Linked DNA regions of Arabidopsis thaliana. Changing the gene in region 2 together with the main gene of any one other region gives a genetic interaction. Each region holds a gene or a part of one and is shown on either strand. Other genes may lie near its edges.

Region 1 (3,757 bases), 5.3 Mb from region 2:
CTGCGTGCTGACAGGACCAGTATTCTTCTCTTGCTTCATTTTCCAGCCATCAACTCTCTCCTTCCAAGCTACATTCCCGAGTCCAACAGGATCCACAATCCTTCTATTTGCTGCAGCGTGAATGACAACAACAGATTTTATTGTTTAGAGTTTTGACATAAAAGAGAAGCCTAGGTACAAATATATGTGTTGGCGAGAGAGTTAGAAATAAAGGATATTTACGTGATTGATTGACATCTGATGAATAGGGAAGGCGCTTTCCCCCAGCGATAGTAGAAGATACAGAGAGGCGTTCAGGTGAGGCAGCAGAAAACTCTCCTGAAGTCTGTAAATAAGCAAATGACAAAATCAGATTCCAAAACTAAATTGCGTGAGGATGCGAATGCTTAAGAGGGAAGAATGAACAGCAATGCCTTACATCTTGTCTGCTCGTGAGACGAGGAAGATGATTGTGAGAGACCTCTTTATCATACTGGGGTTCCCCCATTTCCTCTCCCTTCCCACGAGTAAGATGCCAACCAAGCATCCGCTCTGAAATTTTCTCCTTCTGAGGGTAGTTGAACTCAACAGTACCTTCATCAGCTAAGCCATCCTCGTCTTTATCACCAGGAATAGCAGGACTACCTAGAATCAGAAATTAGCAAATTGCTATAAATACCAATCTGATCCAAAATTCAAAACATACTGATAAACTATCGATGAACAATGAAGACAGTATACTTCAGAAGGATCAAAAGAGAACCTTTGAGCCTCTTGTATCTGGTTTTGCACTGAGGACAAGATTGATTCCCATCTTTCCTCTCATACTCGTAGCAAGGCCGACAAACTGGGAATGAACAAATATCACAAGCCACAAAACGATCTCCATCAACAGTCTTGCCAACATTGTCACTACAGATCTGGCAAGTCTGCGGAACAATGTTCTTCATCGGCTTTCCCTACAAATCAAGTCGAATCAATGAAGCCAAAATTAGAAACCTCAACAGAAAATTTGAAATCAGATCTCTCCAATACACAATTCAACACCCAAATCAATCAATTTCAGTACATATAATTCCTGATTTCGATAAAGGTAAGTATAATGATGAAGCAAGAGTCAAAAAAGCATACCGCGGTTTCTCCTTCGGATTCCATTTGTCACTTAGTTGCTTCCAACACCGAAACGTCGGAATAGTTCAAATCTGATCGGAATTATCAAAAACAGAAACTACGATTAGATCTGAGGAGATCCGAGTAAAGGAAGTCAAATCTGAGAATGGATCATGAGTGTAAGAAGAGTTAAAAGCTTTACCATGAGATCTGAAGATGGAGTGTGGTGATGTGACTCTCTGAATCTCTCTCAATCTGGATCCAAGCTTTCTTCTCTACAGAGAGATAGTTTATAAGGAAGACGAAGAGGAGAATCTTGGGATGGCTAAGAAGATGCAAAGAGCAAGCTATTTGTCTCCTCTACTCGTCACTCTTCCAGATTTTTAAAATATTAATATATTTGTCACAAATCATAATCCAACCAAGCAACAACCACCACCACCACCGACAACTTCCACAGTCGATTTTTTTCTAGTTACAGTTTTACAGTGGCTGTAAAAAAAGTGAAAAAACGGCCGATAAACCTTTAAAATATCCTTAGAAATATATTATCATCGAATTAGTGACTAAATCAAAATAGTAATTGATATTTGATAGTGATATAACTAAAATAGAAGTGTGAAGAACACAACAAATCACAAGTAGTGGGGTAAAGGATATTCATCGTCACTAACTTTCTTACAGATAAAACTTAAAAAGTATTTGCCGACAAAAATAAAACTTCAAAATATTAATTAATCAACGGATTAGTCCAATGAATAAATCAAAATATATTGATAGTGATGCTTTACTTACTAGTATATCAAAATAGGCTAAAACCAGCGGGCTGAAAAAATAAAGGTCCAACTCTAGTATCATCAAGCCCAACAGAATCGAGAAAATGGGTTTGTTGGACTTTGCAGACAAAATTGGTATATGTTCGGTTTACGTTATTTACGAGAGAAAATTGAATCGAACCGAACCCAATAATTAATAGGTCAAACTTTGATAACTGGTGGTGCATGTGGAGATGTGTGGCCACTAGTGCAGCAAAGAACAGACTGTCAGATAGACAAAAGAAGAAAATGGCAAACATTTGAATCCCAAAGAGCGCCACTTTCTCTTCGCTATCCGACAAATCTTCCCTCCTCTTTGTCGTCCCTTTAAACCTTTCCACCTTCTGCTTCGTAACTCTCGTACCCTAGCAATCCTCTACTTAAACCTTCCTTTGTTTCTCCTTCACTTTTCCTGTAAATCTGCTCTTTTGTTCCCTCGATCATATCAATTTTCAAGGTCAGTGAAATCTCATGTTTATTTGGTCCTATGTGAATCAGATTTCAGGGTTTGATATTTGTTTGTTCCGTTGATGTGTTTTGTAGATCTTATGATCTGAGTTACTTGCTCTGTTTTTCTGAGATTTATGGAGGGTCTTTGTCTATGTTTCTTCACCGTTGCAAATGAGTTATAATTTCTGTTTACATGTAGTGAAAAAAGTTCAGTTCTGTGACATAAGAAAGTCTTAAAATTTACGCAACCCTAGTTTTTTTATTTTCTAAGATTTCAATTAAAGAACATTAGCTTGTCTCTTCATGATAGTTTTCCACTGATTATTATCACAACTTTTTTTTTTGTTAGATATTTTTAATCGAAATTATTGTAGAGATAAATATAAATACGTTTTTTTTTTTTTTGGTCAAAAAATATAAATACGTTTAGTTATAGCTAAATCTTAGGAGTATAAAAAAAAAAAAAGTAAATAAAAATCTTACCAGTTTTTATATCTCGTATATCTTCTGTATTTTTAGGGTTTTTCTGTTACATCATTCTATGTTTACGTTTCTTTGATTTTTTTTTGCTTGATCATTTTTAAGTTGATTCGCTTTTTGTTGTTTAAGTGTAATGGATTTTACAACAGTTGAGGTCCCAGATGAGTGGCCACATAATTCGAATTCCTTTGTGGACATCTCAACAGGTATAACCGTATAATTCATTCATGTCTTATTTTGGTTGTGTGCGTTTCCGTTCAAACGTAGAAATCTTATTAGACATATCAATTGTCAAGTTTCAGATCACAATGGATCTTCACCTCCTGTAACTCCAAAGTCTGATACAGTAGCTTCCAACTTTGACCAAGGAAGTTCTGATGTTTCTGGCAATCATGATTCTAACTCTTCTTATTCCGATTTAGATTCGGACACGGAGGCCTTTTACTCATCTTTTAACCATCACCTCGTATCACCAGGGTCAATGGATAGCCATGACTTATCCCCGGAGAAACAAATGAGTTATGAAGAATTGATGAAGAAATATGTCCAGTGTGAAGAAGAGCTTAGGACTACGAGTTTGAAACTTCAAGAATTTGAGCAAGAGATTGAGAAACTAAAGGAGACCGAGAAAAAAGAATCGGTTGTTCTGTTTGGCGAGTATCTACGTGGTGAGCGAGAAATCGCACAAGGAGAAATTGCGATTAGGGACATAGCTATTGAGACTGAGAGAAAGCGAGTTCTCGAGGTGCAAAGACAGGTGGTTGATTTGGAAACTGAGCTTTCAGACTTAAGTTTCAAATTTGAGCATCTAGTGAATGAGCATGAGGTGAGTAGGGACTGTTTAGATGTGTCATTTTCTGAAATCTCTAAGCTAAGGGAAATGTTGTGTGATTGTCAGCAAAATTTCTCTATTGAGAAAACAA
Region 2 (3,757 bases):
ATAAAAGTAGGCGAATGGAATCTGCAAAACCTTTATATGCAGCCCTGAATTTCTCAAATTATGAGAAGAATATAAAGACGAAATTAGAACTGTCTTCTGAAAAGATACTGTAAAAATAGGATAAAATCAAAAGGTCAACATAAGAAAGCTAAAAATCATGCAGTAGAATAATCCATGTAACGGTAACGAAGTCTCAGTAAGAAAAACGGGAGAGAAAATAACCTATGTAACCTTAGTCTCTAGATGGAAAACAGTAATACGTATTCACAAATCTTCATAACAAAAACTCGAGAACTATCATAGGCAAATAGTTGACAAAAATTAATTCTAATCCACCCAGTATACTTGGCAACTAGAACAAAATTGAACGAAGAGATATTAAATCTATAGGAATAATAAGAAAAGGGAACAAATAAAACCAATTATCCAGTCTCCAAATAAGCGTGCAAGGCTAAACAATTGTAAGAAAAAATAAAAAGAAGCCAAAAACCAATTACTAAGTAACAATTTCACGAAGGCAAGCTTTGCAGCAAGCATACCAATGCAAGGGGCTTCTTCCATCATTATCAGGCACGTCAGGATCAGCATTCCACTTTGAGACAACGTGACAAAGAAAAGCAGTCTGGCCATACTGTGCGGCAACATGTGTTGCCTACAAGCAGTTCAAAATTAAGTATTAACATACACCCATTGAGAACTAAACAAGAAAAGAAGGGAAATTTGATAGAAGTCAGCAGAGAACATGGACGCGTAGTTAAAGAAGAGATATGAACCTGATAGCCATACATATCCGTTGCATCTACTCTTGCACCCTCTTGTAATAACAGTTCTGCAACTTGTATCGCACCACGAACAGCACTCCAATGCAATGCAGTCTGTCCAGTATGATCCGTCGCGTTTACATCTCCACCATGCTGGAAAAACCAGAAATCGAGAAGGATCAGTTTTAGAAACTTGAAAACCACTAGTTCAAATCTAATTTAGCAATCAACAAACAATTCGTAAAATGACACAAAACCTCGATAAGGTACTGGGCAACGGCGACGCGGTTGTTCAAGGCAGACCACTGAAGAGCATAGTAGCCAAGAGCATCAGGCTCGGAAACAGAGGAACCCTCACACTCAACCAATCTATGAAGCTTCTCCAAATCACCATAAGCGGCAGCAGTATAGACATCGTTCTTCAAGCTCTCTTCTTCAATCCCTTTAGAACTCGATTCCCCATTCTCCTTGGGATTCGATTGGATTTCTTCCACCACCTCAATCTCCGATGACATTTTTTTCTTTTCTCAGAAGAAATTGAGATCGATCGAGATTCGATTCCCTCCCTAATGGATTTTGACCTTTGATTAGTCTCCCCCGAGCATAAATAAGTCGTGAGATTTGGGGGGAAATGAGGGAAGGAGCTAGGTTTTTTCTGGGGGAATCAGAGGAAGAAGAAGAAGAAGAATATGATTGACGAACTCAAAAAATTGACTAAGAATCGGATTAAGACGGGTCAGAGACAGACTTGCTCTCAATTCTTATCGTTCATTCATTTCATTAACTTTTTTTTGTCAAACAAAACCCAACATTATTTTATTTTTTGGTTTTAGTGTTAACCAAAAAAAAAAAAACCAACATTTATAAATTGATTAATTTCATGATCATTTTTTTTTGTATGTAATGGGAAATATTATACCTGGCTAGTTGAGTGATATATATATAGTTCAATGGAATATGAACGAATCAAAACATCTGTCTTAATCATAAGAGATACTTTTTCATTTTTCATATCTTGACAAAAAGAGTTATATTATAAATGTTAAGAAATCTTTTATAAAACCTTGAACTATTGAATCATTTTGGGACAGTGATTTCTTATTTTGATAAAAAAAACACTGGTTTGCATATATATATAAAAAAAGTATTATTTTGAAAATGCATACTCTTGTATTAATAGATGAAGAAACATAATGGAATGATTTTAGAAGAAAAAAAAATATATGAAGAAACATAGTACGTTTACTAAACCAGAGAAATTGCTTTTAAATAATAATAATTTTACAAAAGTCAACTAAGTTCCGCGACGAGATCTCATCATCTCAGTTGCTTATAGTATGTGTATATATCACTGTTAGTTTTACTTTAATTCACTAACAACTAGTGTAACATAATTATTGATGAATCGGGAAAGTCTAAGCAACTTTCACACATATTAGAATAGATTGTAGATGGGCTTCATATCATTCGGATTGTATAACCCAAAGTTTTGTTCAGTCCCGACCGGCTTTTGATTTTCATTGAAAGTTGCAAACAAAAACCCGTCGATGCCTTTGTTAGGCCTTTTAGGTGTACCTTTTCCGCTTGCTATATGCTTCACGAAATTTCTGTTATAGGTACCCGCGATATCCGGCGTGGTAATGTTTCCATTCCCGGCAGATGGCCATCCGGTCTCGGACACCACCATTGGTAAATCTTTAACGCCTTCCTTCTCCATTGCCCACACGAACGCATCAAAGATTGCATCAAACATGTTTGAATAGCCCAGTGATCCATCTTGTACCACGATGGCCTCAGTGTTGAAGGTGGCATAGTCCAAACGGATGCTAGATGGGTCGGACGCATAGGAGAAGTAAGGGTAGATTTTTACGAGGATAGGCGAATTTGTTTGGGATAATAGTTTCAGCACGGGGACAAGTTGTTCACGCGCTTGAGACGTGAACATTCCTGCGGAAGGTGGGTATGATTGCTCGAGGTTCCACATAGCCACCACCGTGCTTATCGAGATAGGAAGATTCCTTGACTTGACGAGGTTGGTGAGAGACTGCATGACTGGAAGCACTTGAGGACCGATTGGTCCGGGGATGACTTCGTTACCAACAGTAATGAACGCGATGTTGATGTCGGATAAGTAAGGCTCGATGTTGGTCGCAAACCAGCCCTTAACAGCTTCTTCGCTAGCTGAAAGAGCAGCCAAGTCCTGGTCCCTAACTCCTACTGTGACCGCAATATCACGATGGCCACGTAAAGCGTTAAGAACCTCAGTGTTTGGGTCGAAGATTCGGATTTTAGTGATGTCTATGGACTTGTAAAGGGTTATAACTTTTGACGGAGATGGGAGGTTATCTCCGAGGAGACCGTAGTTCAAGCCAATGCTATTTGCTGCGTTTACGAAGCCAATGCTATTTGCTGCGTTTACGAAGTCACTATTGTTGTAGTTGACAATCACCACAATGCACGAGAAGAAGAACAAGAAGAGTTTCTTAGGCAAATAGAGCATGATGAAACTTTTTTTCTGCAAAATGTGTGTATATAGAGATATCCTAAGATCGTACTTCTATGAAGAAGAAGAAGAGAACCAAACTTGATTTGTGTTATTATGTTTTGTTGCAAAATATTTGTTTGCATATATAGATGCATATCTGAGTCTATTTTCAGTCTTATTGGTATGAATAAAATAGTAAAATTCTTTTATTTTGGTTCTTGGTGTAATCTTAGCCCTCGATCTATTTACAAATTTGGTGTTTTCTTTTTTAACTAGTTACTTTCTATTTACATTTTATTGTTTAACTGAATCTTACTATTCCATAACAAACTGAAATCAACCCAATTGAATTTTGTTGTCTAGAAGAAACGTATCCAAAAATACAGGAATTTTGAGTACATAAATAATTAAACTGATACATAAATATAAAATATATATAACTAGTAAATTCATGTATAATCGATGTTTTTGTATAACTAACAAACTCAACTTAAACATACATGGACTTGAC

The links.
Region 1: of TIP1 (region 2) and CEV1, changing one enhances a phenotype caused by changing the other (phenotypic enhancement), as found in Arabidopsis thaliana (one study listed by BioGRID).

The regions. Positions count from the first base shown.
Region 1 is NC_003076.8:1,533,957-1,537,713, forward strand, and holds the start of CEV1 (Cellulose synthase family protein), read right to left. Parts: upstream 1,603-3,757; 5' UTR 1,292-1,602; intron 1,182-1,291; 5' UTR 1,135-1,181; coding exon 1,111-1,134; intron 939-1,110; coding exon 743-938; intron 625-742; coding exon 419-624; intron 326-418; coding exon 223-325; intron 111-222; coding exon 1-110. Other genes in the region: AT5G05180 (myosin heavy chain, striated protein), read left to right, coding at 2,968-3,040, 3,137-3,757. UniProt on the Arabidopsis thaliana protein: Catalytic subunit of cellulose synthase terminal complexes ('rosettes'), required for beta-1,4-glucan microfibril crystallization, a major mechanism of the cell wall formation. Involved in the primary cell wall formation, especially in roots.
Region 2 is NC_003076.8:6,874,291-6,878,047, reverse strand, and holds the start of TIP1 (Ankyrin repeat family protein with DHHC zinc finger domain-containing protein), read right to left. Parts: upstream 1,608-3,757; 5' UTR 1,277-1,607; coding exon 1,019-1,276; intron 915-1,018; coding exon 774-914; intron 653-773; coding exon 540-652; intron 45-539; coding exon 1-44. Other genes in the region: BG5 (beta-1,3-glucanase 5), read right to left, coding at 2,197-3,261.